4 linked regions of the Drosophila melanogaster genome follow. Changing the gene in region 4 together with the main gene of any one other region gives a genetic interaction. Each region holds a gene or a part of one and is shown on either strand. Other genes may lie near its edges. The genes, in order: hth, Gug, nej and Scr.

Region 1 (8,030 bases), 3.8 Mb from region 4:
GGCGCCACATCAAGTTGATATCGTGTCGTCGTCTTCATCTTTTGCTGTCGCTCGTCGTTTGCGTTTGATAAATTGCGTTTATAAGAAAGAGATGAATTGTCATGCACACAACACACACTTCTCTGCCGGCGTCGACGGCGACGCCGACTGCACTGCCGGCGTTAACATCACTGTAGGTGTTCGCAAGTGTGTGCCTGTGTGTGTGCGTGCGTGAGTGTTTAAATCATATTGGCTGGCCCCCCAATTGGTGTGAGTGCACGTGTATGGGTAAGCTTTCCCTCTCTGCCCTCTCTTTCGCTCGTCTGGGATTGGAAGTTTCCAAATGCAATTTTCCTTGAGGTTTTCCCGAGTCGGTTCCTTTTCGGCTTTCTTCTTTCATTTTTTTTTCGCTCACTGGGTGGAGGCCCAGCCCCCTAAATTCGCTTCCTGCCCCTCCTTTTGTACACCCCCCCCCCCACCGTTCGCTCTTCTCGCTTCTTGATTATTTTCCTTTTTCGGTGATTTAAATTTCATGGTCCCTTCAATTTGGCAAAGTTCTAAATATTAAATTAAATTCCTGCTTCATTTGCAAAAATTCTTGAGCTTTTCTGGAGCTGTCCGCTTTATTTGCATTCTTCGAAATTTAAGTTATCTGTTCTTATTAAATTTCATCTGAAAACATTTTTTCACTCAGTATTATTCTACGAACTAAGTATATTCTATTCCTCAATTAGCGCTTCTCAGAAAACCTCGAGTTTTCTTAAACAAATAAACTTCATTTGTCTAACATTTCGTTGGGATCCTTGAACTTTGCTACCGCGTCGATCGATCTATTCGAATTTAACTTGGTCACCGATAAGTCTGAAAAGTTCCCACACTTAAGCGTTTCACTAATTTATTGCACTTAATTGATTCGATTTTATGTGATTTTTGTTTCACATAAATTACTTGGCTTTTGGCCCGAGCAGACGCACAAAAGTTGGACGTCTGAAAAAGCCAAAAGAAAGCGAGTCCCGAAACGAAAAAAGGGAAAAAGCAACCGCAAATCAATCAAAGTCTCATAAATTTGTCAAAGTGTTGACAAGACGCAGAAACAGAGCACCTATATCATACATAGTTCCCAAGATTTTGGGGGTTTGGGATTTCGGGATGAAATGGCAACCAGATTAAGTGCAACATCATCTTTTTGACCAGCGAAAACAGACACGGGAAATCCTTTTGGCGAGCGTCGGAAAACAAACAAGGCTATTTTTCATTTTCCTAAAAACGCCGGCCAAATCGCCCCGTCTCTCTCGCTCGCCAGTATCCCCGTCTCTTTCGGCGTAATGGCAACTGCAGCGCCAAGCCAAAAATACGCTGGTGAAAAATGGCCTGGGAATATGTGTTAACTGCTTTTTAAACTGCCACGAGGACGACGACACGACAGTAACAATAACAGCAACAATAGACAGGATTTCGGACTGAATACGAAGATTGGCATACCTTGTTACCCTGTAGTTATTGGTAAAACAAATTGGACTAATTTATTTTAGTTTAAAATGTAAAAAAAAATTTGTACAATCACGCCGAAGATATCACAATTGACTGAAAATTGCCCAAACATACTTGTCATCAAAAAACTTGTTCAAATAATGCAAAAGCCCGTTTCCTCAATTTTTTATTTTTGGTTTGAGATGTAACACCATTTGTACAGGGTATATAAAAAACCAAATGAGAGTAGATTCGCCAAACAGGAGCGCAGAATGACCTGCAAAATATGCAATTTTCAGCGAATGTTTTTGACAATTTATCGCCGTTCCATTTGTTGTTGTTCCCCAAGAAGTAAGAAAGAGAGAGAGAGGAGAAACTCGAACAGCTGTTTGTTGTTGTCAGGATCGCATATCCTTCCAAAGTGGCCAGATCACCGTTACAAGCCAAAAGGACGCAATAAAGGAACTGCAGCGAAAAGTTTGTTTTTGTCGTCCACGTTTCTTCTTCTTCTCCTTCAAGTTTCTTCTCTTTTTTGCCGCTTTTCTTCGAAGGCGTTGCCTATTCGGGCAAAAGTGTGTGTGTGCGAGTGTGTGTGGGGGCGCCAAAAGAGAGCGAAAAGTGAGCGAAAGCTGAAGCTGATGGACAACTGAAGCTTTCTCGCTGCCTTTCAACCTGTAAAGGTGCGGCGAAAAAGAGCCAAGCTGCCAACTGCCACTCACTCAAGCGAAAATAACAAATGGGATTGGTTTTTGCTGATTTTCGACGCCGACGCCGGCAGAGGGGCGAAAAACCCATAAGCCGTCTCCTTTTGGCCAAAGCCAAATAAATTTCAAACGCGGCGAACATTGCGCAAAAAGAGGCGAAAACTGAGAAAGAGAAAGAGATAGAACACCGCTGTACGGTACTGTATATGCATGTGAATGACAAGTGTGTGTATGACAGAAGAGGCGTACCAACAAATCAGTCATCGTCGCCCAGGATGCGAGCGCGCCTGCGCAGGCAATTCGCCGGAGCGTTCGCATAAACCATATATTCCTCTCGCTTGCACTCGCTGAGTTATGGCCAAGAGCGAGTTAATGGCACAATTGTTGCATCTGAACAGAGCGGGGCAGCTGCATGATTGACAATCATGCCGCACCGCTTGCACCCGTTGACTTTGCTGTTGTTTGTCGCTCAGCGCTCTCTTCGCTGTTAGTTAACAGCGATGTTAGGAGTGGAAACACGTCCGACTGTAGCGTAAATTCAAACGTATCTGGCGGGTTGGTTTTTCGATGAAATATCTTTCATCCGCACAGTGTATTTTTGACTGCGAAGCGCGTACGACGTGTGTCTGTGTTGCGTTGCGTTCGAATAAAAAAGAGAAGAAAAGCGAAAAAGTGTTGCCGTCGGTGAAGTTTATTATTATTATGATTATTATTATTGCCCGTTAACCACGCGTTTTGCCATCAATCAACAAATAAACAACACAAGAAACACTTTGGAAATCGCGCGCGTTTTTCCATCGCGCGAACAAAACAATCACGTTTTTTAGTGTGTTTTTCAATCACAATCGAAAAGTTCTCCTTTTCACAATTGAAGGCCAAAATAAATACTGTTATTTGAGGGCCGCGGAGGGAATTTCTTTCAACGAGGGGATCCCGCCGATCCCCCCGCAAAAACAAAGAAACACGCAAATTGCCGTCGCAAAAACACAACAGAATATATTGCATTATATATTAACAATATAATTTGTTCATCTCTAGTAACGTAGTATGTAGAAGCAGCTGTGATAAATAGTGCGCATATTATACGAAAAAAGCAAAAAGAGTATACGACAAACAAATAAAAATTAAAAGCAACCACAACTACTACTATAAAAATAACCAAGGAAAAGGCAAGGAAACTCGCAAAACGAGAGAGAGAGGAAAAGGGAAAAAACGCCATGGATTTATGACAACAACAAATGCAACCCAGTAACAAATGATGTTGCAGCAACTACTACAATACACGAGTATACCAAGAACATCAACAACAACAACTGCAACGGCAACCAACAACAAATTGTATACGATTTTTATAAACCAAACAAATGCTATGTAAATAATTATTATAACAAACACACAAGTAAAAAAAACATTCAAAACCAGATCTCCCGCTCTAGAAAACAAACAACAAACGCGCGCGTAACAAAAACGACAACATCAACAATACAACAAGTATACAAACGTAATAATAATACATAAAATCTAAACAAATGTGCCTGTGTTAAAAAAAAAGAAAGCAAAATCAAGAAGCAAAGCGTTCAAAAAGCAAAGGCTTCCCAATACATGAAAAAAGTGCAAAACATATATAAAAATCCAAGAAAATAACATCCAAAACTGAAGAACTGGAAAAGCCAAGAGTAAATCTAAGGACTCCACACGGGCAGCTACAGTAGAGCTTCCCTAAAACCGAAGCAGTTGCAGCGGCGGAGCGGGACGTCGGTCAGTGTGTTGCGCCCCCATTTGTTGTTCCTACTGTAAAAAGTGGCACAAATCGGGTTAGACGTCGCTCCCAGAGCATTAATGGCTCAGCCCAGGGTAAGTAGATCCACCAAAGTTCACTTTCTAAATATATAGAATCCATATAGAATGGTCCCCCGAGAGTGTTGTTATCCTTAAACAAGTTCCGACGGCTAAAAAACAAATGGGGTTCAGTCAATTTGTAATCAAGTCAAGTGGTGCCGACGGCACTTACAGGTTGTAGTTTATGATGATATTGTAACAGTTTTCATATCATGGATATGTTACCAGTGTAACCAAATCAATCTATAACCAGAATACGCAAAAAGTTTTAAAAATCTTCAGATATTAGTTAATCCAACTTCATGAAGTAGATCTATATAAATATTTCTTATACATGGCCTCCAAGCTTCTCCAATTTAACCCATTACAATCAATTCAATGGGGAATAGTTCTTGTTTATTAGAGCCCTATCAAAATGAATTTTAACTAAGCGTTTCTGAGTGTGTGTGTGTGTGTGTGCTTATGTGTATTGGAATAGGACAGAAATCACATTTGATTTATGCGGGTCATTTTCTGGTACAAGTTTATATAATTAACTGAGTCTGCAGCTAGACCATTTTATTTGGGAAGTGATGGAAATCAAAGATCGCCGAAATAGTGATAGATATTGTATTACATTAAACAACGGTTTACTCTAGAAAATCATTAAATAATGTTTATTGAAAATTGTTAGCTTTTCCCCTTAACTTTTCATTTTCACACCGCAATAGTTGATTCGATTTTTGTTTAAACATGGCTGGGACCTTCACCTCCGAAAAGCCCCCCCGTTGCATAGCCACAATGATTCCACCATTTTCCATCACGTTTATAAGGCATAAATTCTCGCCTCGCTTTTTAAACGGAGTAATAATTTTTACAATCCATCTGGATCGTAAATTATATGCTAATCAGGTGACCGGCAGTCTCCGCTCGCCCGCTCTTCAAAAAAATATTATTACCAAATCGCAGTTAGACTTTATCAATTGATTATCATGGACATGCGAAGTGAACTTGATTTTTATTTAACGGAGCAAAAAGACCTCAAACATGGCCGTTTGCCTGTGTGTGTGCTACCAATTAGCGTGTGTGTGTGTGTGTGTGTTACCAAAAGGTGGGCCATGCTCTTTGGGAGCATTAAAAAAATCAGAAAGAAATATAAAAAATAAAAATGGATATGGAAATGGAAATGGAGATGGGAAAAAAGAAATGCCCGCGGGAATTTTGTGTGTGTCTGCGTTACTGGCGAATAAATTTACGCCTGTGGTTTAATACCCGATTCTGTGCCGAATTTACCTCTTTGAATCCCCTTTTTCGTAATTCTCCTGCGGCTCTTTACCCGAATCGCGCCATTTCAATTCCATCAAATGAATTTTTCGACTCGGGGCGAGAGATATATGTATGTATGTACGAGTATGTGAATATATACGGGTGTTCTGTCTGTTTGTGTGCATTTGATGCATATAATTTTATTGCACATTTTGCACATTGCCAGCGGCCCAAAAGCGATCCATTCAGTTTATGCCGCTTCGTGGTTTTATTATTTACAATTTTATTTTTACCATTTTCCATGACTTTGCGCTGCTATAATTTGCGAAAAATGGCGGGAAGCAATTTTCGCGGGTTCTTCTCAAACCAAACTGCACATGCATTTTTATATATATTTAATTTGATTATTTTATGCCATCGAAACGGAGAGCAAACGAGAGAAACAGTGAGAAAGAGCGGCCGTGTAAAATGTGCAAAAAAAAAAAATGTGCAATTGCAATTTGTATAAAAATGTGCATTGCAGCTGCTGCCATTCTCCCCCGCGCCCCCTCACTTTTCCCACCATTTTTCAGTTCGTGTGCCATTTCAAACGCCTGCGAAATGCAGCACAAAAATTGTTTTGGTGTTATTTTAATTTAAAGGTTAACCGCAGCGTAATTTGTGGCATAAAATATAATTCGTCTATCGTGTGCTCGCCTCTCCCACTGTGTTTGTTCAGCTATTTTTTGTATTTCTCGTTCGCTTTAGAAATAAAATCAAAATCAAAATAGAAAAGATCAAGGAGAGCGGAGCAGCGGAAAATGCCACAGTCGATTCTGTGGTTTACTTTAGTGGCCAGCAGCATTTGCAAAAGTTGATGGAAACATTCGGAATTCGACTTAGGTGGCAAACTAAAACATTTTTTTTGTTGAGCCAGGAAAAAAATTCTAGTTATATATGTATATATTATCAGTATATAACAATGGTCCGCTGAAATGTGTACTTTCAAATATACCAACTGCTGAACTCATTCCATTAATAACAATAAATTGAATTTGAAATTCCCTATGTTACAAAATAACATTCGTCAGCAAAGTATAGTAATATTTTTTCCCGCCTAGTCCTTATCATATTGCAATAGTTTAATCTTTGCCAGCGACCAACCTTCGTCGCGAATTCTTTTCTAATTAAGTGAGCAATTCTCCAGTCTTCCCAGCCTCACCGCATGACTCATGGGCTCCCCACTTACCCCCTTTGCCACGACCCCCCGTTTATCAGGAGATTTCAGATATATCTTGGCTTTCGGTTGAGAATCCGCTCGGCAGACGCTTCACATGCCAGCGAAAATTGAGCGAATAGGAAGCGTCAGGCTGAGAGGAATATTTATAAACAAATTACATATGCATATTTCTGCAAGGGGTGCGCAGGGGGAGGGGGTCATAAGACTCTATATGGGGCCTCCACTTCTCCCACTTTCCACCGATGTTGTTTTTCGTGTGCTAAAGAGCTTCATGTTTAATGATCAAATTGCGTGCCTGATTCTTGGGTCGGTGCCTGCTGGTGCTATATAGTTGTTGCCTTTGTTGTTATAGCCTATAGAGTAGTATTATTATTTTACTTATTTTTTCCCGGCCTCTCTGGCTTACTACAGCACACACATAGTTGCCAAGTTTGACGAGGTCGCTGGCTGCCGTTGAAAGTGTTTTCATTAGTTTCATTTCTTTTTGCATTTACGCTTAAAAGTTTTTTAAATATCGCTGCCCGTTTTTCGTTTGCCGTAATTTCCCCAAACATTAAGTCAAAGTGTTTTGCTAATATTCATCGAATAAAGTGGAATTACTATTTTTGCTGGTGGTGAACTCTTTTCTCCATCTTTATAAAAAGAAAAGAAAAAAAAACGAGGGACTGAAACGGAAAAAGTGTACAGACAAAAATGTGAAGAAAAAATGTGTTGTAAAGTAGAGGAAAAATCATTTAGACAAGTTGCACGCCGCTCATTAAATTAAATGAGCCATCAGCACGCAATTTATTTTCGTATTTTTGAGTAACTTTTGGCCCCGGCAAAAATGCCAAACTCCAAAAGACTTTTGTTTCTTTGGGCCAGAAATTTTGTTAGCAAACTTGGCCAAGTCCTTGTCTTCAGCAATTTAATTAAATAGCCGAGAAGTTGGGAATCAGATAGTTAATTTAGGCCAATAAAACAATTACTGAGAGTATATTTTCTTCTACTTGCATATTCCATTCGTCATTATAAATATAATATAATCAATTAACTCGAGACATATTCGTTTAATTCCATTTAAACACAAGTTTATTTTATTTGCATGCCATACTGCCTTTTCCGCCATTTTCCGTCAATTTAAATTTCAAACATTTTCCTTAAATTTCGGCCATTAAATTGTCTTCGCTTTCGCTGGGCTTTAAATTCCCAGAAAGCAGCTAAAAATATTTTCAAAATTTCTTTTCTTTCGATTTATTTTTGATTCGATATTTTTATGTATTTTGCTTGTATTTTCCGAACACACGAATTTTAAATTTACCTTTTTGGACAAATTTTTCGTTGCTATTGGCCGCGCTTTGTTGGCTTTTTGTTAATCATCTGCCAGTTTTTGTGTCTGCGAGTTTGGGGCTCATTTTAATTTAATAAATGCCACAGACTGACGTCATTTGTTGTTGATTTTTGATAAATGTTAAAACGCCAAAGTATTCATTTATTTTTTTTCACCCGTTGGTCGCTTTCAGTTTCTCGGCTACCGAGCTTCTAATTTTTCTGCTTTAATTTTATGCATATATTTCAGTGCTATTTTTTTTTGC
Region 2 (8,072 bases), on a different chromosome or scaffold from region 4:
AATTATCTTATCGCTAAATGGAGTTAACACGTAACAGAAACAGTAACTGGGATTGATTTAGCACCGCGAGTGTTTGACTAACGATGTCATCGTGAGGGAGAAGGGTTTTTTTTTATATATATATTGTTGAGGCTTTTTGAGTTTTAATTAATTAACCCTGCTTTACTTTGATTTCTTTGGAATGAGATCTTAATGAAACACCCAGTCTAATAATCACTTTAGTCCTTTCGCGCTTTAAAAAAAACGTAACATATGCTAGAAACGACACCTAAAATCGCAAAATACATTCGAAGCTATCAAAAGGTTAAACAATTTGTCTAATGTTGACACTTCCATTGACCAATTACCACCGAACGAGCTTATCTCACGTACACACCACTAGGTCCAAGGTTTAGCTTTGTTCGTGGGGATGGCTTAGATCAGGCCGCTTGGCTGCCCAGTCAGCAATGCTAATTAAATCGGTTATGTAATTGGACAGAGCACAGAGCGAGAACTCCGAGGCTGAATGAGGAAAACCTTCCGTTTACTTCTAATCGACATCAATAAATCGACACACTCGAGTCAAGTGTGCGCGGATAGACGGACGGACTTTTCAATCAGATAAGCAGCACTTATAAATTAAAAGCGCAACAAAACAGATTAATAAAGTTAAACTTTAACGGCACATTATAAATAAGCCAAATGACTAATAATAAAATATGAAAGCGCGCACAAAACCCCGACATCAAAGGCGACCAGCAACTGTGTAACATACCAGAGATACAAAAAAAAAGAAATAAAAGCCAAACACAAAATATAAAACCGTACCAAAACCAGAGGAGCCGGAAAACCGCGAGGGAACTCATCCATTTCCCAACAGCACTTTTGTTTTTTTTTTTTTTTTTTGGTATTTGTGTTTCTGAAATATTCGTGTTATTTGTGCGCCTTAAGTTTCCGTTGGCGGCACTCGTCTTGCCTTTTTATTAAATGCATTATTAGCACGTTATTTATTAATTAAACACTCCAGCCTTTTAATGCGTCTCTAATCAGATGGCCTCGCCGCCGCACTCTTCGTGGATTTTGGGTTGGTGGGTGCAGATAAGCGGGCGTGCCGGGCAAATGGAAATGTGGAAATGGGCAGGGTGTGGGTTTCGAAGATAAGCAAGGCGGCAAGCGGTGCAAATTGTCTGGGAATTTCCTTGAAATCAATCTCCGTTTTCCAAGAACTAACTGCCTCGAATTTCACTTGGCTAAAAGCAAGTTAAACCATGGCACTTCATTGGAAGAGATAAAGAGATCCGTAAATCCCCCATGAACAATGCGTAAAATTGCGTATCATATGACCTGGTAATCCCTCATTAGCTCTGATTTAATCCTGCACCATATTGCTTGTATAACAAGTGACCTACAATAGCTACAATACAAATTAATCTATTTAACTAGATGTGGCCATAAAACGATGACACTATAAATACAAAATGGCAGCTAATCAATATTATCTTTATTTAAATTGATAAACATATAGAGGACAACCAAAACTAGTTTTGATAGATTCATATAGTTATTAACAAGTGGAATATTTTCCAACAATGCGCTAAAGAGTTTCTAAACTGTCTGATCCCGGTCAACCCTTTTTTTTTTCATTCCGAACAAGGGTGTACTAATTGGCCTACAAGGCAACTCATTAGCAGTATACAAGTGCGGCGATAAAGATCTGTTTCAGTGGGTTTAGGGTATGTGTAAGCCTTATCATCGATCTAATCGCAATTCCCCCTAAATACCACCAGCCCACAAAATGAACACCACAAATCCGAATATGAGCGACAATAGCAAAGCAACGGATTAGGGGCACGCGCCCCCCGGTTTTCTAATTGCTTTGGGATACCATTGGAAAATAGTTTCCTCCATTAGCCGAGTGGAAACCCTTCGGCACAATGAACAAGCAACCCCATCGAGGGGATGTGACACATGAGACGGGGGCCAGCGTGAAGTATCGAATTAAGCAAACAAATAATTATAATTAAATGTGTGCGCCGGGCTCGAACAGATGTCTTGGCTCACCATGAATCCGTAGTCGGGGTTGTGTATCGTCGAGGCGTCCCGCACGAAGATGCTCCTCTCTCCAGCAGCAGGCGGCAAAGTAACTCCGGTCTACGGTCTCCGTCTCCAGATTCCAGACTCCAAGTTGCTGAGGATGATGATGATGATGACGACGATGGTGATGTGGTGCTGTGTCGATGGATTTTCAAAGGGGGTGGGCGGCGGTCGTGGTGGTTCTTGTTGCTTTGCTCCTGTTGTTCTTGATATTGTTGTTCCTGCTGTTGTTATTGGTGTTGTTGTTTTTGTAGTTGTTGCTCAGCGAGGAGGCAGCGAGTAGCCGGAAATGTATATTTCGGTTAATTTGCACAAACACAGCTGGAAGGCGAAGAGATGACGTAGGTGAGAGCCGAGACGATGGAGATGATTAAGCGAAAGAAAAAGAAAATGAAAGAACCAAACAGAAGAATTGAGCAGCTGGGGCGCAAGGAGCGCCCTGCGAAAAAACAATGCCCCACTAGCGATACTACTACCAAAAGCAGTCGCCAAATGAGGCCATAGAACTTGGCAATTTTATACGTTAGCTATTTGCATAGCATAGTTGAAATCCTATGTACCTGGTTTTGAGTTGAGAACTTTTAATTACATAATAATGTGACCCATATTCTTTGATCCTTTCCTTATTAAATTTTATAAACAATGTAAACCAGGCAGACCTATGTTCAAAACATCTGTAATAATAATAATCAATCTATCTATCTATTTGGACTGTATAATATTGAATAACAATAGCTATCAGAAAATCTTTAGTACCAAGATGACATATCTAAGTAAGTCGTAGTAGTCCATATCAATAGTACTATTAGTACGGGGAATAACGCCAGTTATAGCGATATTTTTTATAATCTATTGCCAATAAATACAATTCCAAACACTTCTCTAGCATTAATAGTGGGTAAGTACATATTTTAGCTTATTTATCAGCCAGCAAAAAGGCAACAAGACACATTTTTCCGACAACGTCAGCAACAGCAATTGACTGAGTGGAAGAAGAAGAAGAAGAAGCACGGCCAGCAGGAGCGGTCACAGGAACAGGGAAGGGCGGTGTGGGGGGGGGGGGGCTTTACAGGAATGGGGTTAGTCCGAGGCAGGAGCATCCTTGGGGGGTGGTGGGTGCGCTGGCCGCAAGAGCGTCGCGTTGCGTCGCGTCGGTGGTGACGCCGACGATAACAACAACAACAACAACAATAACAAAGGGGCAACAACGGTGGTGGGTTGCTGCTGTTGTTGCTTGGCCTGTTTTTGTTGTTTTAGTTGCTGCCCGTGCTGCTGACGCTTGGATTTTTGCTTTGTTGTTGCTGCTGCTGCGCTTGCGATTCCTTTTCAGCAAATTTGTTGAGCCTTCGTTCGTGTTTGCATTGTTCTACCCCAAAAAGTTCATAATAGACTGGATTCAAACACCCACCCATCCGTCGGTCACCCTTTCAAAAACTGCGGGGGGGGGGGGGGGGATACGCCACTGTTTTCTCTGTTTTACTGTTTTTCGTTATTTTTTTGTTTTTTGTTTTTTGCTGCCCGAAAGACTTCACATAAATTTGAATGATTTGCACGCTGCGCAACTGCGATTCCAAATTAAATTAGTGACACACTTAGTAATAATTAATTTTCGCACACTTGTTGTAGATTTTTCCTTACGTTTCGCTGCTTGCTTGTTGTTGCTTTTTTTTTTATTGCTGCCGCTGCTGCCAAGTGTTGTTGGATTTTGTTGTTGTTGCTGTTGCTGCTTTCTGGTGTTTTTGTTGTTGGGCGCGCGTGAAACTCGTCGTACGCTTTTTTTTAATGCTCTTCTTCGTTTCTCTTCTTCTTTTTTTGCATACACTTTGCGCACACACACACTGACAGAGAGGCACACTCGCACACACAGGCACAGACAGAGAGCAGCGCACACAGACGTACACTCGAACACACACACACACAGGCACGCACTTTGGTTGCTTGCTTGCGTTTTTTTTATTGCCTGCCTTCGCTTTCAGTTATTTTCACTGGGTTCTTGTGCGATTTTCGGTTGCTTTTTCGCGGAATTTTCAGCCACACGGCGCAGCCAGCGTGGTTGCGAATGTTTTCGCCAGCAAATTACAATAATTGGCTGGCCAAGATGCGTGCTTTTTGTTAAAAATCGCCACTACGAATTTCTCCGCGAAGAAGCCACCATTTTGTAAAAATATATACTTTGCGGGGTCTGGCAAGGCTGGCGGTGGCAGAGTGGCAGCATTGCTGGTGGTCATGTGCTAAATAAGCCAGCAATTGTTGTGTAGCCAACAGCTTTCGTTGGTGAGCACTCGTAAGTTTGTCTTTTGAAATGGTAATTTATTTGTTTAAACAAGACTTAAAAACTTCTAAAGCATATGTTAAAAAAATAAATGATATATATTTAAACATTAATATATGGCTAACAGCTGTGTTTCAGATTTTCTATGAAATTTAATACGATGAAAGTTGGAGTTTAATTGGTTAACAGTCGATCTATATTAACAGTTTGTCGCAGCATATTGTGGGCTTACTTTAAAAATAAATTGCTTAATTTTCGTCCTAATAGGCGAAAAATTCGATTCCACAAACTTATATTTAATTTTTAAAAATCCAACTGATTGTAAAATATCCCTATTGTAAATTAACATTTCTGTTAGAACAGTGAACAAAAGCGCCATTTCGGCAGAAGCGACTATCGACTCTGCGCCTAACATCGATAGCCACAAGAAATCTACCGACGCACCACCACTATTGTTTATTTTGTTTTTCGTCGTTTTTGGATTCTGATTTAAATCACCTCGCTGCGAAAATCGGGAAATTCTAAAGAAGCGCGTCGTCTGTTTAAATTCTGAGGGTTCGCAAAATCGCTGGCATTTAACACTACCACCAAAAAAAAACCAAAACAAATCAAGAGCTGCGAATCTACGGATCCTCAAAATGTGCGACGAGTCCATTGAAAATGTGGAGCATCAAGGTAAAAATTAGTAACTCCGATTCCCGATGTTATTTGCCCAACTCATTTGTTTGGCCATTAAGTAGCGCCCAATATTTGCATAGAAACCAGCTCAAGTGCGTTAAAATATCATTAGGAAAAGGCGGCGGTGGGGGGTGTAGATTCTTTGGTTGATGGTAAAAAAAGGGTAAGTGGGGGTAATTGCGCGTGGATTTTGGCGATTAATTCGGTTTAATTGGAACAGAAAGAATGAAAAGAGTGAGCTAAATTTAGGCAAGTCAGGCCACTCGAGGGAATCGCTTGTTGTTTGCTGACCTTTTCTGCAAATCAGGACAGCTGCACTTCTTAGCGCAGAAACCAACATGCAGCTGGGAATGCACTGAAAAAAAGTGGGGGAAATAAGTCTGATTATATATGTGATACATTAAAAGTGTAACTTTGAGTGAGTAAGCGTAAGAGTAAGTGTATGTGTGCACGAGTGTTTTGGCCATTTCCTTCCCGTTCACTTCACACATTCGATTTCCGCCAATTGTTGTTCTTTGACCTCTTCTTCCTGCTTTTCTGTCGCAATATTAAAAATAATATTTGTTCATGGCCATAGCTAAGCCAATTTCGACCACCTACCGCCCACTTTTGTTGGCCACCGCAATCGATGGTTTTCCATTTTCCATTTTTACCATTTCGCCGACTTTGTCGCCATTCGCGTGACTTCAATGGGTTTCGCTTATCGCTTTTCAAACGGCGCTCGACCCGAGTTTTTATCAGCCTGTTGCAGCCTGCTTAAATTGTCTTAGATTAATTTTAATTTATGATCTCCTGACAGAAGTTAATGAATTGTGGCCAGCAAGCAGCGTATGGAAAACGAAAATAGTTTTCATTTCGCGCTTCACACACTTTCTTCATCAATTAGCGGCTATCAGAATTTTTTTTTTTTTTGTTTTTGAGCGGCAGTTTCAAGTGGCAGTTATATTCGATCCATTTTGGTGAATAATAAAATTATTGCGAAAGCAAACACGAAATGCTTAAACGTGATTAACAGATCTTTAGAATTATTATACTATTGTTTTTTTATTATTATTATTTTTTGCTTACCTAATGTGCATGTTTGTTTGTATAGTACTTAATAAATTTGTTTCTCCTTACGCTTATCGCCTAGAAATGCAAATTGTGAGTTAAAGCTTTTTATTGTTTGCCCAGCGTTTTCATGGGCAATGCTAATTGTAAGTTTATTTGGCGCCCGCCCCAAGAATTAGATATCCAACACCCCAGAGATAAAAAACAACAACAACGAATGGGGCTGATTAAATTGCATTTACCGCCAGCGGAGGTTTCCATTGTGGTAGTCACTATTTTTTTTATTGTTATGTATTCTATAAAGTGATATGCAATTGTGCAATCCTCATGTGGCGGGCTATTTATAGACTCGTTGGGAAACCTGCGGGCACGTTGTTTTTGTTGCATGAGGTAGCAATGCTGGGGATGCTATTGCCACGCCTCCGCTCCCGGGTGGCCATCCAACGCCCACAAGGCGTTCGTTATTGATATTTGTCTTGTTGGTGTTTCAATTGTTTTGATTCGAGAGGGATTCTGAAATACATAACTTACAATACTGTTATGCATGTTTGCAGTTCGTTCTCGTTTTTGCATTTGCATTTTGCATATGGCATTTTATATATTCTATAGTCGATTTGGCACGTACGGCGATTGGTGGCCTTTTTATGGCATCCCCCCAACTGGGGGTAGCAACTGCATTAGTATTAGTTAGGGGGCAGACACACAAGCACACCGTCCAGCAATAAAAGTATATGAACATTTGAATTTGGCGGCTCGAAATTATATAATTCATCGTGTGAGGGTGTTGAAAGCTGGACAAATTGGGCGGACATGACTAAGAACACACTTAATATGGAACTTTTATGGTTTCCTGTTTCTAAAATTGTTGAAAAGATGGTGAATAAAGCTGGTTATAAATAGAAAAAACATATAATTAGCACCAGACCTTCTAAAAACCTTACTAAACTCGAATGAATTTTTAAATGCCATCTCATTATAGATCGATATATTCAAAACTCGCTAGAAACATTAGAGTATGCATGGTTTATGGCGTATGAAAAGTTGGTTTCTTGGCTTGTCTAGACCCATTTTCCATGCTTTAATTTCGAGTAAACGAACCAATTGAGCTATATAGAGAAAGCCAACGAGAATTCAATTGGTGGACAATCTGTCAGATATGCATCAGATAATTTATCTCTATACAAAAACTCTGTGTGCCGTAAAGAAATCCCGAAAAAAAAACGTGCCATTGCTCAAATTTGAATTTGAATTTGAATAGCAATGGCAGTTGATTGTGAATTTCCATTAATGGTTAATCAATGGTGATTGGAGGGCACGTGAGACTGCTTTTTTCAGTCAGCCAGATTTTTAAGTGAGCCGCATGATCGCCAAGTGAGAATTATAGGAAGACCGAATGACATTGGCATTGTGAAAATGCTGCCTTCATTGTTGTGGCGGCTTTAAGCAGATTAAGCTGGATTACAATAAATTGCTTACATACTGCGAAGCGGCCAAGGAGCAACCGGAAAATTGCTTCAATTTCGCATTCGTCTGCGTTTATGACAAAAATGAAATAAATAAATTACACATAAAAATCATGTCCATTTCCTGCACATTAAAGTGCAAAATTGAATTATTACGTTCCGCTGAGCGGGCGATCGGGCAAATAAACAAAAGAATTCGGTCGAGAAGAAAACGAAAATATAATATCAACCATTTGCGCAGACATTCCACATTCCAATCGTTGCGACACCAGAACAAAATGAAATATCTATTTGAAGTCGCAAAACAAACGTACAACACGTTTCAAATCGATAAGTTAGTTCAAAATTGAATAAACAAATGTAGAAATGCAACCAAATGCAATTTAAAATAGGCTAATAAAGGCGAAAGCTTCTCACAATTATGTAATTATTTGTATCAGAAAGAACAGATACGTTTATGAAACGCACTGTCTGAATTTCCAAATTTTTGTAGGAATGAACAAACTTTTTAGCCGCAATTTCCGATGCCAGTGCCA
Region 3 (8,204 bases), on a different chromosome or scaffold from region 4:
TAAATAGGGGCAAAAATTGTGTGTGCGTGTGTATGTGTGTGTGTGTGTGTGGGGGGGGGGTGGGGAGGGGTGAAGAAAGAGTGCCGAAACAAGGGGATACTAACACTTCCCTGGAAATCACTTGCCCGAACCGAAGAAATAACCAGATATCTGAACTCGAGCCACTTGTTGCAACACTCGAAAAAATAGTCGAGAAATGCGCGTGGAAAATAATTAAAATAAAAATATAACTGAAAATAGTAGATAGTACAAAGTAAAGGGAAAGATTACAAATTCAGATTGATAATAATATATTAACAATAAATTTGCAAAACGTACATATACATATATGCATCAATTTTTTTTAGCAGTGTATGGTTACAGTAGCTGGCCAAATGGAACCGAAGGACGCCGCATAAATGGGGTGTCGAAATGATCATCGGTTGAGAGCGCCCCGCGGCGGGCCGCTCCTCTGATCTTTGCACCGCACGCCCCGCTGCGCTCTATCCACGGTTCCAAAAGTGTGTAGAGAAAACCAACGAAAAGGATCCTCTACTCCGAAACAGGACACGCAATGGCCAACGAAAAAACAGTGGCAAATGGGCCATGGTCCATGGGAAAAAAAAAACGATATTTGCGAAATCCAGACGACAAAGGTGCCAGCACAAAGGACAACTAATTGGTTCGATTCCAAATTGAGCGTTCGCTGTTCTTTTTTCTTTAGTGTCCTTTAGATCCTGCCGCTGCTCCATTGTCCTTTGCTTTAGTCGGTGGAAATACAAATATTTATTTAATATCTAACATAGCGGAGCGCACTTGGCTTACCAATGAGAGCATTAAACGCAATGCAGCAATTTTTGAATTTTGGAAACAAGGATCAACTAATGTCTAATGAATTCTTTTTATGGCAATATTGGCTGGGTGGTTAGGGAAATCGACCCATTCCTGTGAAAAATAAAAATATTTAATTAATATCTAATAAACGGAGCTCAGTTGCTTACTAAAAAACACAGAAATAATGGAAACGAGCAAAAAAAAAAAAAAATAAATAAATTTGTTTATGAATGTCAAGTTTAGTTTTAAATCTATGCACAACTTACATTACGTTTCGGATTCTGGTGTATTGCTTTTCGGCGGATCTGAATCGTCAATAACCCGTGCAGGTAATTGTTCATTAATATTTTTATTATACATTATCTCATTCTCCACCATAAGCATTAAAGTGCGTGCTCGAGGCACTTTATTAGCTAGCCTATTTTTAGCTTTAAATGATCTATGTATTGTTTTTCTTATTTTGTTTTTTTTTGGCTTTTCCTGGTTTGACTTTCGTACTTTCATGTTTTATTCTAAATTTTCCAAAACGTATTTGTTATTCGATAATTTTTACGTTGTGTGTTTTCTTTGGGAGTCAAAGTAGAAATGAGGGTTTTGCTTGTGGGTCGGTTGTCTTGTGATTGAAATTATGTTCAATGCCTACTTTGTTAAACAAATTTAAATCGAAATACCGAAGCTCACTTTGTTTTTTTTTTATTGATACAAATTGTCTTACATTAAATCTAAAATATTATTTGTGTGCGCAGTTTTAAACAGCGAATACAATAACCCAAAGAGCAAATAGCCATGACACCCACCCTTATGTAATAGCTTTTTGAACACCATCCAGCGGGAAGTCATGCAACTAAAGGCAACTGTTTATCTTTTCTTAACCTAGGTGGCGCCATTTCTATTTCACAGATGGATTAGGCGATACACCGAAAGAAATCAGTAGATGATTGATGATATAAAAAAATAAAATAAATGTATTGTCTCAATAGGTTATATTTTGCATTTTATTTATTTATTAGAACGTTGCAGACAAGAGTTTAAATCATATAGATATCGGCTATAGCTGCTGGGGCTTTCAGCCGGACTTCTACATTATTGTTTACGTATTTAGTTACAACATTATTTGCAATTATTTACATTGTATTACTGCACTTACCTTATTGGAATATCTCAGATAGGTTTTAAAGCAAATAAAATACGTTAATGTAGGATAATTTTTTATAAAGTGCATATGCACTTCTACAAATATAGCTATTTCTTTACGCCTACATATGCGTAACCTAAACCTGAAAATTATGAATATGTTCCCCTTGTAAACAGCAAATATTATCCAAAATAGGCGCTTTGCTCATTTTACTCAATTGTACAACTAAAATTTGTATTCCATTTAGGTACTTTGATTTGCACTGTTTTCTACCCTATGTTACGCTCCACTTACAATAGAGTTTTATCAAATTGTAAAACCAAACTTTATATTCCAATTATTTTTAGGTTTTGAAACTCTTCAGTTCTTCATTCTGCATTGTTATTATAGCACGTTTCATCCATATAAATACACAAGATTAAAGGCAAATGACAATAATATCCGAAAAGATAGCTAGATAATGAATAATTACGCTTTTTAGCTACACAGCGGCCACAATGACAGCACTGTTCCTCGTACGAATGCTAACGTTAAGAAGAGGAAGAGACGAGCGGTGCTGGGTTGAAAAAAACTGGAAAAGGGGGGAAATTGGCGCAAATTGTGCACGCGAGGCGCAGCAGGGACGTTGGATCTTAACTATCGGTTTGTGTTCCTTACTTTGCGGCAAAATTAATGCAACCAATTGCCGATATACTGAGAAAAATGGCATAATTAAATAACCAGATCCAACGCATGTAGTGTAAAAAGTCGGGCATTATTCCCAATCGCAAAAGAGAGAGAATCGGTATCACTCGCTGACCCGTCTCGTTCGAGTCTTGATCGCGGTATCTCGCTTGCACCCACATACCGAGCGCCAGCCAGTCATATGGCCGTCCCGTTCATTTCGGTGACAACGTGTCGGTGTGTGTGCATCAGTGTGCAAGCTTATATGTGTGCGCTGTGTATCTGCAACAAACAACGGCGGCCGCTAACAAAAAAAATTGTAAATAAATACGCTGCCGTTCGACAGCGCGCGAAAATCGAAAAAGTGCTCGAAAAGTCAACGAAAGAGCGCCCCCAAAAGAATATAAAAAATTCCGCTAGCGGAAAGGGGGGAACAACAGAAGCAAGTGGGACATTTATTGAACAATTTGAAAATTAATTTGTTCTGTGCGTTGTTTGCATGACCACCGGTTCGTCGGACAAGGACGACGATAGTGTATCCTTCGGCGGCTGATTTTTCGGCTTGCCTCTCTCTCACACGTTCTCTTTGTCTCTCACGGCAAGAGCGAACGGAAAACACGCTAACACTGAACCCACCAGAGATGCGCAAATCCAATGACTCGATTACTTACGTGATCCTCTGTAAATATCGTTTTTCCTTTGAAGAACTTTAAACTAGATTTTTACGATGGACAAACGTTTTCAAAATTAATGTCTACAAATACTTTTTTAAACAAAAAATTCTAAACAACTGCACTCATTCAAGATGTTGATTTATTAATTCATATTAAACATCTTTTTGGAATACCTATTTGATCTCAAAAACGCTGCAAAGAATATTCATTTCATAATGATGTTGGTCTCCAACCAATGATGTTTCTTACAAAACTTCTTTGTGCACATTTTCAAGTGACCGCATAAAAGTATCGGCGAATGTGTCACCGTCATCATGTGGTCATCTCTGGACTCGCTGCTTCGTTATCTGGCGCGCCATATGTGTGCGCGTGTGTGCGTATCGGCTCTTTGGGAGCGCATGGCGTGAGCGGTCTCGCCGACGCAGAGAGCGAGGGACTAGAGCAAAACAGTGTTCCGACAGCGGTTAACAGCTGTTACGGGGCCAACAGACTGCTAGCAAAGGCATTTATATGGATTTCGGGTCGTAACAGTACGACAACAGCGGCCAAACAGCACGCGAGAGCGACGAGAGCCCACTCGCGTGTTGTGTTAAACAGTCAATTTTAGTGTATTTCCGAGCTCGGTGGTGTATTTGAACGGCTAGCCGCGGTCACACTGAAGCAAAAACATTTTTGGCTCGGAGAACGATTAACACAAGCGGACTGAAATTTTTTTGTTTTAGTGTTGCGAAAAAGTTTGTGGGATTTTTATAAAATCGCCGGAAAATGTGAAAAATATATGGTATAAAACCGAAATTCGGCAAAATTGCAAAGTATAGTTAGAAATTTAGTGCGTGGCAATCGGTGACGGTGGAAAAATAAAAATACCGGCCAAAATCGGGCTGAAATTTTTTTCAAATTTTCTACGGCATTTTCTTGAATTTCGTATTTTCGCCAAATATTTTTGCGATTTTTGTGTGGGCCGGGAAAAATGAAAAACGCTCTGGCGGAGACAACACAAAAAATTTCTGCAATAGAAACTTTGAAACGACGTGAAGAAGAAAACGAAACGAAAACGACGAACGAACACAGAAAAAAAATGGAATATATTTCTGTCGTCTGTTTTTCTTTCTTTTTCCAATGCTCCTCGCACTCGTTGCCGTTTACCGTCGTGTGTATATTGCACACTAATGCCGCTTGGCACTAATACCATCGCATGCTTTCTCTCTCGGACTCGTGCTCGCTCTTGCACGAACTCGCTGTTTTCGAAGTGTGCGTGTGTGTAACTGTGTGGTGAAAACGGCGTTGGCGTCGCTGTGAGAATTCTGTACGCGCGCCCCAAACCCCAAATGTGTGCGTGCGTGAGTGTGTGAAAGCTTTTGTCAGCCAGCCCCACTGCACTCTAGTGTCATCCCGCTCGCACCCCACTCGCCACTCGCCGCCCCAACAAATTGAATTTCATATGATGGCCGCTCGAATGCGGAAGCAAAACCAAAATACGGCCACTTTTTCGGCCATTTAATTTATAAACTAGACTATAGACTACAGCCGCAACTGGCTGATACTTCAATTAATTTTTTTAAGCAGTGCTCTGACTTTTATTACCTGTAAAGGTGTGAAATTTTTTTTCCAAAAATGTATTTGTCATAAAAATGTTAAGCATGTTTCAAAGTATATTTTTGCCAACGACGGCACTTGTTTTCCATATTTTTTAGGGGACTGGCGGCAAAATGAAATTATTATTTTCATTTTCGTGGTGTGCGCCAAAAGAGCGAGAGGCCAACACACACGTCTGCGAGTAAAATAACGAGTACAGCGCTGGTAGTATTGGCGAATAAAATTGCGAGGCAAGAACAGACAAGAGAGAGAGAGAGAGTGAGTGGTCGTCAAGCGGCACACAGATGAGTGCAACGAGACCGAGAGAATTCTCGGTACTGTTCTCGTTGTTCTTCCCTTTTCGCCCCGTCTTCGGCACGTCTCGTCGCATTTTAGTTTCGTTTTGTTTCCATTTTCCCCTCGGTTTCGCTGTCCACTCGCGCGCGGCTAAATTACAAAAAAGAAAGAAGAAAATAAATAAATATTGCTTTCGATTTGTGTTCGTCCATTCAACATAATCTAATAGGCTGTGTATTATTCTTCTTGTGCGTTTGCAGTTAATGTGTAATGCTAGAGCGGCAAACGTCGGCAGCAGCAGCAGCAGCAACAACATCAGCATCGACAAAAACAACAGCAGCGCGCCAGCAACAAAAACAAACCGAAACACAACAAACCCAACAACAGCCAACAATGTGAATTGCTTTTTTTTCCTTATTAATTGTAAACGATAACCGAATCAAGTGCAATCAAAATTAAACACAAGCATATATAATATATGGTCAAAATATCTATATATATATATATATATTCCTGTGTAACAAAAAGCCGCCAAAAACAAATCACATAAAATATGTAAGATAGCGGAGAAAAAGGCGGAAAGAAAAGGAAGAGAAAGAGGAGAGAGCCAAACCAAGAACCGTTCTTTTTCGCTCAGTGGAGGCAGGCAGGCAACAACAGACAAACAAACAAACAAACAATAACAAGAGCCGCCCAGCCAAGGTCAACTTTTGGTGTTTTTGGGGCCCAACAACACAAAATGCACGCGTGTGTCTGCTGCTGTTCGACAAACAACAATTGCAACAACGAGAACAACGACGGCAGCAGCAGCAGCAGCAGTAACCACAACAACAACGACAGCAGCATCAGCAGCAGCAGCAAAAACAAATTGCAGCTAAAAAAGCGCAGGGCCGAAGTCGAAGAAGAAGAAGAGGTACTGGTCAAGCGGACGCAGGATAAGAACAAGCATCAAGAGGAGCAGGAGCAGGAGGAGCACCAGGCGGTGGAAAAGTTGTCTGCTGGCCAAAGCGCCAGTGGCGGCGACAACGATCTCAACGGCGCCGCAACGAGAAGGCGGTGGTGGCTGCGCGATCCTCCAGGATCAGCGGAAGCGGCAGAAGGAGAGGGAAAAGGCGAAGGAGTGGAAGTGGGTGTGGGAGCAGAAGGATCAGCGGGCACAGGTCCGACGACGTGGTGGTGGTCAGCTCCATCCGTTGACGTTGCGGTGACGATAGCGCCGGCTACGTTGTTGCTGTCGTTGCAGCGGCAATTAGCAAAGGAATTATCTAAATCAACAACAACAACTGCAACAAGAACAACAACAGAAGCCACATCCTTAGCAATAAAAAGCGGAGCAGCAGCGTTAATATCATCATTAAGTGCAAGCATCGCCAACATCATCGATTACAAGATCCCAAAACACCAATACCAAAACCAAATCCCAATCCTCGCCAGCCACGCCTTTTGAGTGCCTCTTTGTGTGTTGTGTATTGTGCGTGCGTGTGTTGCAAAGTGTCCAAACTAATCAAGAAATCTACAACTTAAAACACTAAACACTTAACCAAACAAACAACCTGTGCAACAATTGTCAAAGTGCTAGGCGACAAATAATTTCTGAAAGAAGATTTGACAAGTTCCAATAACGAAAATATCAGAACACACTCGAACTCCAACATAGACGGATCATTGGAGAGTTAGTGAAAAAAAAAAGCGAAAAATCAGAAAAACTTTATAAACTAATAGAAACAATACTACTCAGATTTTTCGAACGTTTTTCGTCTGCGTTTCTGTTTTTTTCCGAATCGAAAGAATCAAACTAACTCTATATGATGGCCGATCACTTAGACGAACCGCCCCAAAAGCGGGTTAAAATGGATCCAAGTGAGTACCGAAACCAGAATATTCGATTTCTCATTTTTTTTTTTTTTTTGTTAATAACTTTTAGTTTTAGTTTATCAAACTTGTATTCTCCAGTTATTTCATAATTTTTAATAAATTCCTTACGGAATTGAAAAAGCAATTAATTCTATCCAACTATTTTTTTTTTTAAGAAAATTCCTTGCTAAAAACAATTTGGTTGTATCTTCCTCCAGCGGATATCTCTTACTTTCTGGAGGAGAACCTGCCCGATGAGCTGGTGTCCTCGAATAGTGGCTGGTCGGATCAGCTGACCGGCGGAGCAGGCGGTGGCAATGGAGGTGGCGGCGCCTCCGGTGTAACCACAAATCCCACATCCGGCCCAAATCCCGGTGGCGGACCCAACAAGCCGGCAGCCCAAGGACCCGGCTCTGGCACAGGCGGAGTCGGTGTTGGAGTGAATGTGGGTGTCGGCGGTGTTGTTGGCGTCGGCGTTGTGCCTTCCCAGATGAACGGAGCCGGCGGCGGCAACGGATCCGGAACGGGTGGCGACGACGGCAGTGGCAACGGCTCAGGAGCGGGCAACAGAATCAGTCAAATGCAACACCAGCAACTGCAGCACCTACTCCAGCAGCAGCAGCAGGGCCAGAAGGGCGCCATGGTGGTGCCCGGCATGCAGCAGCTGGGCAGCAAGTCGCCCAACCTGCAGTCACCCAACCAGGGCGGCATGCAGCAGGTGGTGGGCACTCAGATGGGTATGGTCAACTCAATGCCCATGTCAATATCGAATAATGGCAACAATGGCATGAACGCCATACCAGGTGATTAATCGTTCTTCCTTGTAATTGGATATCCAAGTTATCCTAGCCAATGCAACCAAATGAATATAGCAACAATTATCTGAAAACCCAAATTATGTTATATCTTTCGCAGGCATGAACACCATTGCGCAGGGCAATCTGGGAAACATGGTGCTGACCAACAGCGTTGGCGGCGGCATGGGCGGCATGGTTAATCATCTTAAGCAGCAGCCTGGCGGCGGCGGCGGTGGGATGATCAATTCCGTTTCAGTACCCGGAGGACCTGGAGCAGGAGCTGGTGGCGTTGGAGCTGGCGGCGGAGGAGCCGTTGCCGCAAACCAAGGCATGCATATGCAGAACGGCCCAATGATGGGACGCATGGTGGGGCAACAGCATATGCTTCGTGGCCCG
Region 4 (8,507 bases):
AAGAAATTATTTTGGTTTATATGACTCCAAATATTTCGATATTACTCGTATATTTTGCACGCAAATAGTTTCACATCAACACGGATGTTAAAATATATGTATAGTTAAATTAAAAGACCTAATTAAAAACACGATTCAAATTTGTTTGGCTTAAAAACGTCTGTTTATTAATACATGACAGATGCAACATTTTTTATTTCGAATCATTTCCGTAGTTCAGACGAAGCTGGAGTATCTCAAAACCGTGACGAAACCGACTCATTTGCTAATTCCAAACTCTACTGCAATCCGTCTTTCCCTTTAATGTGGCCTTGATGAGGTGGACCAATTAAAGCGACGCTGATTAGCGACGGCAGGAGGCCAAAAGTAGAGCAAAGGGACACAATAGAGACACATGCAGCTTAGTCCTGCGTACAAGTGAACGCCCGCATTGTTCACACGCATAGTGTGGGTGAATAAGGATGAAGCTACGGAACTGCAATAGAAGGATTCCGTTGGCGGCGCGCCGCAGGACGATAATGAACACAAATGAGCTCCGGCTTCGAAAACCGAATTCGAATCGAGCGAAAGGAGTTTCGGCTAAGAAATTGGCAAGCATTTGCTAAAAACTGCTAAACTACATGTTGAACAATGCCAAGAACCTGTTAGAAGGACATTCAGCTGAGAGTTCGACCTTGGCGCAGTATTTCAAGAGCAGTCAGTCGGGACTTTATAGATTTTTTTGGTTCCTTCTCTTTTTTTCTGACTATGTATCTTTTGTTGCGATCTGATTGATTGCTGTCAGGATTTTAGCTGGGAACGAATCCTAGGGGCTGCTTGAGAATGAGCAGCTGCATTCCATCCCTTGCCGGCCATTTCAAATATTTCACTACTTAGTTTGCACTTTAAGGATACTTTAAAGTTACTTATAGGTTCGTGGCAACTTTCGCCGCTGTCCTGGAGAATTAATCATTGCACAAGTACGCAGCTTGTGGCTAAGGACATGCGCAACAATCCACGCCTCCTTCCCCGAGTCTCATTCTCCCACTTTCCCCATCCGAAAATCATCTCGTCCTGCAGCAGCTGCGGCCAAAGCGAGAGCAATATACAGTTAAAGCTTTTCCCACTGCGGAAAAAGCTTGGTTATCTGGCTGGCTGGCGATGTGTCCTGATGTTCCTTGTATATGTATTTCGGGGGATGTGTGTATGCGAATAAAAATTCAATCAAAATGGCGTTTGCACGGCGTTGGATGCTGTATTGTGTGTACGGTTTTTTGTTGTTTTATTTATGCATTCACAGAATGGCTGGGAAATATTGAAAATGAAATCTTTAAAGATCAGATTTAATGCTGTAGCAGTTTGTATATAATGTATATATGTAAATCATGTACATGATATATACACGAGTGAATGTAACATTATGTAGTAAATTACAGTTTAAATAATATAGTGAACTCATGATATATTCTCATACAGTCTTGCAAAAGCCCAAACACTTGAAACACTTTAACAAAGTTGAAGTTAATAGTTTTAAATACACTTGACATATGAATGAATCAGGTGGTAAATATTTATATATATTGTAGTTCCATTTAAAGCTAATTAAAGTAAAATGGCACGCATAAAATAAAAGCTACATAACACATTTTAAAATATGCCCGTAAAGATCACATAGTCATAACTCGTGCCTTACTGCTCCTTTCGTGTACACCAGTGCCTCCTGCCCTGGTTCATCGCTTAAGCTCAGCTGTTGTCTCCTCCTAATGACCTCCAAGGCCCTTCTCCGCAGAACCGCTTACCCAGTCTCAAGACCAAGAAGTCCTCCCCCACCCCTGACCAACTTGGCCAGCCATCTTGTTCAACTAAGTAGCTCGCCTGACAGCTGAGCAACGTTTGTCATAATCAAATGTGAATGGACTGACACTGACACAGGGGCTCTACGGACTGAGGACTGAAAACTGAAAACTGGTAGCTGCCAAAAAGCAGAGAGAGGAAATTAATTTAAATTGGCCTTTAATGTAAATGCATCTCTCAATGCATCGCCAACTGCAGTTGGTTCTGTAGGAGTTTGCTCCGCTCCAGATACAGCTTATATCCCGACTAACACCGACTTGTGTTTGCCCCCAAATTGGGGGTATTTATCAACTACTCGTAGACATGGACTACCCATCCTACAACCAATTTCAAGAACCCCCATTTCCATTACGGATGCGTGAAGAACTCAAATGGCAAGGTATTAACGAATTGTCGTGAGTTTGGTTCGGGGAGGGGTATTCATTTTTCTTGGATCGTTTAATTGGAAACTGTTGCTGTTGCAGTTTCGTTGATGCACTGAGACAAAATCATACTAACATTAATTTTAACCTCTCTTGCTATTCAAATATAAAGCCCCAAATAGTAATAAAATTCAGTAATTGTGTATGGAAAAGAAAAAAAAATTTGTTTAAATAAACAGTTTAATGTTTGGAAAAGTAAATTTAAAATTAGTTATAAATATGTTACATTGTATTATAAAAGTTACCATAAGTGCGTTACATAAGTTACAAAGTTTTTCTTTGTGTTTTTTCTATGTCCAGATTTAATTCAAAAATTCCAACTTCGCGTTACGCGCTGTTTTCTTTAACTAAAAACAAAATACAAACGCTGCTGATTGTTTCATATTAAAAATTGAGCGTGTGTGTGCGAGGGGCAACATTTACAATCGGAGGCAACATGCAAGCGATGATGAAAAATCGCCTGCAACATGTTGGATGCTGCTGGGGACCCTCCATGGATCTAGAATGGAATGGGATCCGAGAGGATGCTATGCTATGCTATGGATTGGGATACGAGAGTCTGGCGCTGGCTGCCCGCTGGCATCGCCAACATCAACTCCAATTACAGAAGTACACGCAGGCGTCTCTCTTATGATTTTTTTTTTTTAGTTTTTCATTTATTTTCCATCATTTGTTTTTTTCTATACTTTTATATGGTTTGTGGATGATGCGGGCCAACCATAAAGAGCTGACATGTGTGTTTCAAAAACACAGCGGAAAACATATGGCAAAAAATACGACTTCTATAAGAAGAACAAATCGAATTGGTACATAAACTTAAGCTATAAATTCCGAAATACGTACTTACAAAATTTATTTATATTTTAATAAACATATTTTCGAAAGAATTGCTGATTTCGCGTTTCGGGTTTCGAAAGTAACCGTTCAGTACCACTTAAAAAAACACTTTTATTACAAGTTCGTATCAAATAAACGTATTAAGTTTATACGTTTTTAAATAAGATAATTTTTAAGACACTCACTATAAATACTTATTAAAACAAACTTTTGCTTTTGCAATATATTACGAATGACCTATGCCATTTATCTGTATTTGGTATATGTTTGTGGTTTCGCAACATAAACGTTAGATTCCAAAAATAAAAATAAAAAAAATAATCTCATTCAAAATCGATTTTGGGTGTGTCTTAACCAGCAACTCATTTTTATGATAAAAAATAGCTAATCAACATTTAAATCTCCGAGACAAACTAATCAATTGAATTCAAATTCAAATGACGCCAAAATCAAACCATATGTGTGTTCAGCTCTGAATGCGATGCTGGATTGTTGGTAGCAAATATGAAATCGACTTTTAATTAAGGCATTTAGCCAAACAAATCAAAATCGTTAAGCCCCGATGCTGAATGAATCATGAGAACTTGAACTTGGCTACGGCCCAAAGAGAACCCGATCCGCAGCCCCGAAACAGACCGATAAATTTAAATTCAGAGACAACTGCCAACGAGCTCGTTTTAAAGGAGGAATAACTTAAGCTTCAGCAGGAGACTTTGCATTTTGCCAGGCCAATAAAAATGGAAATGAACGCGGAGCGGAACGTTTATAAAATAATAATGCGAAATAATAATGTGGCGGTGATTTAGCGGAACAGTGCCACGATTGAATACAAATAAAGTGGGGGAGACGCCTAATCTAGGATGATTTCGGCCTAATCTGGAGCGTGAACCGGGGGCAGATGTGTCCTGGAGTGGCTGCCAACTACCTGTTTTTTCTCGCTTTTCTCGTATTTCTCGCTTTTCTCGAGAGCGCGCTTTTCCCCAAATCGAGGGAAAAGCTGGAGCGCCATAGGCCGGTTGCCGTGGCACCCTCGTCGCATAAATCAAGACTGGGGGCGGAGTCTGCCGTGGGTGCAAGTGGGACAGCAGGATTTTCGAAAATGCGCACTGTCCGTCCTCTCTCTCGCACTCGTTGGCCGGGTCCTCAAATGATTTACAGTGTTCGAAACGCACACAAGGCAACGCACGAGAGGGTCGTTTTGTCGGTTTTTATGGCTCAAACGTGAATTGAACGTGGCGCACTTCAGTCGCCAAGCAGCGCGCTCGGTCTTCTGCAAACATAAAAAGATACAGATACACGTTCTCGTATTCGTACGCGTAGCAATCCGCGAAGTTTCCGCTTGAAAGCCAGTCTTGCGATTCCATGGAAAGCTCTTTGGCGACGGCAAGGTGCCATGGTCTCCCCATAGCGGATACTTTACCGACTAACTCCTTTACATAGGAGCGGAATTACCTACCCACCTCAAATAATTTCTCAAACTGCTCATCTTCGCAAATAACTAAGATAGCAAAGTGCAGTGCAAAAGGCAAATACAATTAATACGAAAATAAAAAGTATACAGTGAAGTGCTGGCTAAGAAAACTAATTGAATTACAACGACTTGTTCGTAGCGTCTGATTGGATTTCCCCAAATCGTCCACATAAAGGTAAGAAAATAACAAACGTAGAAAAACTAAACTCTGAATGTAAGAAGAAAATTTAAGAAAGTTTTGCCCTTAAAGGTTTAAATGAAACCATCGATATATCGTTAAATGGTTCCTTTTAACCTTTCTAAACTTTTCCACTCAAATCATTCTGAATTAAAACTGCACTGTGGTGTGGAGGATTGAATATTTTAGAGTCAATTTAACAAACAATAAATATTGTAGAATACAAAAAAGGTGTCAATTGTAAAAAATCAATATAATATATATATATATATTTTTTATAAATATATATTATTTTAGCAAGTTCAGAAATCCAATTACTTTACTTCTTTGCAATACCTCCAAATGTTATATAAACTAACTGCACACTTAACTAAAAAAAAATATATGAACAACATTAAAAATATATATTAAATCTTCAGAGACAGATTTTACTTCTCCAAACTCCCAAAATGAGTCCCAGAGTCTTGATTTTATCCCAACTAGCCCAAAGTACGGAGTTCGAATGTTTATGATTTGGTCCCCCGAAATCGATCTCACACGGACAGTGTCGGTGAGAACAATAAGACTTTAGTCGCAGTTCGAAACATGATTTTCGAACTACCGAGTAACGATCTCTCTCAATAAGAACTTGTTCGAAACACGCGAGAGCGGTGCTTTTCGAACTACCGCTCTTTCGAACTCACACACACACACACCGATGTGTCGTATTCGTATCCGTGAGATACAATTTGTGGGAACGAATTTCTGGTTTGGCGGTTGATTCGAAACGTTCTTCGCGTCCGCAAAGGTAGTTTCAGCACATGCCTGAGAGCGAGCGAGATGGCGGAGCGGCGCAATGCCCGTTGTCTCTCTCGCACACTTTTCGAATAATGAACACTGCACTTGGACGACGATATGTAGCTGTATAGCCATATAGCCTTACTTGCTCGTACTCGCAGATACAATTGGACGGGGGAAATGGAGCAGTATGAGTGAGCCAGAGCGCTGGCGTATCTGTGTTTTTTATTGATGCTCAGAAATTTGAATTATGCCCGAGCAGTCAAAGTGAGACATTGGCGCTTCGAGCACGTATCCGCGGATACACCGGAATAACAGAAAAAAAAGCACAAATAAAAAAACTCAAACAATCCAACACTCAGCTGTTCCGCGTGTAAAGACCCTCGAATACTGTTCGATTTTAGCGAAAGATGGATGGACTGCAAAGTGCTTGCATCGATGCTGGCGCTGATGGACAGTCATAAATTCGGCGTGAAATTCGCGCAGATACTTAGATACTCCGTCATAGCGCATATACTTATCGTGATCTGTAACAAATTGCGCGTGTGCTTGTGTGTTTGTGATACCAAAAGCCGTCCAAATCCGTCGCTTAGCCCTTTGCGGCCAATTACCCATTAGAACCATCCAAAACATAAGCCTGCAGGTAGGACGCAAAAGTCTAGCCAGTTTGCCCTCAGGATGCCATCGGATTAATTTCCCAGATATCCGGCTGGTTGTGACAATTCTACCTTCGTAATTGTGCACGTTGATTTCCGCACTCAGCACAAGTGAAAATCGTGGTTCAGTGCAGTGAAAATCAGAAAACAAACTCACTTGAACGGAGGTGAACGCCGTCGGCTAACTAAAATTGTGAGTAAACGAGTTTAACGGCTGAAAATATTTTAAGCGCTTTGGAACAGGTGAAAACAGTCATGGAAAGGATATTTATTCGTTGTCAGTTTTTGTTTTGTATTTTCTAGTGTTTTTTTTTTTGATGTGTTAAGAACTTATGTAGCAATATTTGGTCTAAAGCAATTTAATTATAGTTTTTTCTTAACAATTTGATGCGATTTTATTTATCAAATAATATTTACAATAAAAAAGTGCTTTGTTCGTATGTACATATTTTTTTAAGTAACAATATTTCTACCACCTTAAATTTTATTTTTAATCTTACAATCTTTATCTTGTACTTTGACTTTCTTATTGAAGAAATAATACCAACACTAGTAAGTTAAAAAAAAATAAGAAATTTTTAATTTCTTTAATAAATCAATTTAATATTCTTTGAAGAAATCATCAAAGGTGCGTAATAATTTCCCCTGTTTGCTTCTTAAGACACTCCATATCAAATAATATAATTTGAAAAAATCAATGAAATATATTTTGATACCTAGTAACCGAACCCAGAAAATACATTTTATATATTTCCCTATATCGGGGCTTTGTTTCTGTATTCTGTTTAAGCAATTTTTCATAAGGTTGCGTGTGCGGTATCAACGCAAGGAATTTTCACTTCATTAAAGCGAAATGCAGCCGCTTTTGAAATAATTAAGAGGCACAAAGGCGAAATGTCACAGCGAATGAAAAATGCCTAACAAGCGCCGCATATAGAAGGTTAATCCAGACACATAGCGTTATATACCGAGCCCAAGCTGGGATAGGGATGAAGAAATGCCCACGATATAGGCTTGGCTACTATCCGGGGAACTCGAACTCATGCTGGCCAAGACGCCATGGGGCGAACATGAAATTATGTAAAATAAAAGAAGACGCACTGGGCTGGAACTTCATGGGACTTTGCCAATGACCGAGTAAAGGCGATGCTCCTGGGCAGTATTCTACATCCCGGCATGGCATCCCACATGTGCTCTAGTCGTAAGTGGATGAAATTCCACTTGATGTAGGTCACTTTCATTCGCCCATCTCGCCAAGGGTGGGCCAAGATCAAAGAGCTGGAGAGCTGGCTGCATCGATTGCATAATATGGGCACAACACTGAGACAGTTGCAGGCCCAGTAACAATTCCACTCCGAATTGCAGTCTATACGGCTAATTGGAGGGTAGGGGCCAGTCCAAAGTTCTACGAGTGTCTTCAGCAGCGCTGTAATTTATTTGGCCTGCGCCTGGCGGAGACATTCATCATGGCCTAACCCCGGCTCTTCCTGACGCCCCCCTCAAATATTTCAACAATACTCGTTCATATTTATAAATCAAAATCGCAAGCACGCAAGCTGAAAATTTGTGCTAGAGTCGTTGATCTATTGGCCGCAAAAATGGCAGGCCGTTCTAACAGGAATAGAAAAGTCTACAATAAAAGCTAGAGTAGCAAAACGAAAAGATACAAGACCGAAAGACAAAATAATACAAAAGAGGTTGGAACAGCATATATTGAATGCCATTTGTTTAGAATTAAAAGAAATTTATTGAACCATGAATGCTGCGAGCATATACAACTAATACTTGTCTTAAAAACCCGCCCCTCTACCTAAATTTATCCTAATAGTTGTCCGACAAAACTGCTCTCCAAAAATATGACTACAAATTAAGTTGGCCAAGGATTACCCATAAACAGTGGCAAGACCAGGATACATTACACAATTGAGATGTCCTTGACCAGAAACAGGACTACTTAAAATGATAATTCCGACTCGACCATTGCGCAAAAGATCATAAATTATCGCAGTGGAGAGGAGAGGAGATGACAAGCTGAACCACAAATGGCCGCTTGCAGCGAGGATCGGAATCGATGATTGGTTTTCAGTTGGGAAAACAATTGGAGAACTCATAAAAATTATGAGAGCCATGACAAACAAACAAACAAACCACAAACAGCAACTGTGACGAGGGTTGCCACGGCAGAAGAAGATGCATGTTTGGGGAGTGAGAAAAAAGACACAAAAAGATGAAGAGGAATAATATTTATGACTATTTTTATGAGGTGCTTACAAATTTTTATGACTTTTTAATGGGTCCGCACACAGTGTCTGGCCCTCTCGCTTCCTCGTGAG

Evidence for each region.
Region 1: of Scr (region 4) and hth, changing one suppresses a phenotype caused by changing the other (phenotypic suppression), as found in Drosophila melanogaster (one study listed by BioGRID).
Region 2: of Scr (region 4) and Gug, changing one suppresses a phenotype caused by changing the other (phenotypic suppression), as found in Drosophila melanogaster (one study listed by BioGRID).
Region 3: of Scr (region 4) and nej, changing one enhances a phenotype caused by changing the other (phenotypic enhancement), as found in Drosophila melanogaster (one study listed by BioGRID).

The regions. Positions count from the first base shown.
Region 1 is NT_033777.3:10,608,962-10,616,991, reverse strand, and holds the start of hth (homothorax), read left to right. Parts: upstream 1-2,715; 5' UTR 2,716-3,992; coding exon 3,993-4,007; intron 4,008-8,030. UniProt on the Drosophila melanogaster protein: All isoforms are required for patterning of the embryonic cuticle. Acts with exd to delimit the eye field and prevent inappropriate eye development.
Region 2 is NT_037436.4:8,446,097-8,454,168, reverse strand, and holds the start of Gug (grunge), read right to left. Parts: upstream 4,248-8,072; 5' UTR 3,712-4,247; intron 3,522-3,711; exon of another isoform or gene 3,482-3,521; intron 2,395-3,481; 5' UTR 2,041-2,394; intron 1-2,040. Other genes in the region: CG6983 (uncharacterized protein), read left to right, coding at 4,984-5,020.
Region 3 is NC_004354.4:9,681,365-9,689,568, reverse strand, and holds the start of nej (nejire), read left to right. Parts: upstream 1-3,901; 5' UTR 3,902-4,019; exon of another isoform or gene 4,020-4,066; intron 4,067-5,417; 5' UTR 5,418-6,962; coding exon 6,963-7,017; intron 7,018-7,229; coding exon 7,230-7,814; intron 7,815-7,926; coding exon 7,927-8,204.
Region 4 is NT_033777.3:6,845,776-6,854,282, reverse strand, and holds the start of Scr (Sex combs reduced), read left to right. Parts: upstream 1-4,301; 5' UTR 4,302-4,738; intron 4,739-5,777; exon of another isoform or gene 5,778-6,367; intron 6,368-8,507. UniProt on the Drosophila melanogaster protein: Sequence-specific transcription factor which is part of a developmental regulatory system that provides cells with specific positional identities on the anterior-posterior axis.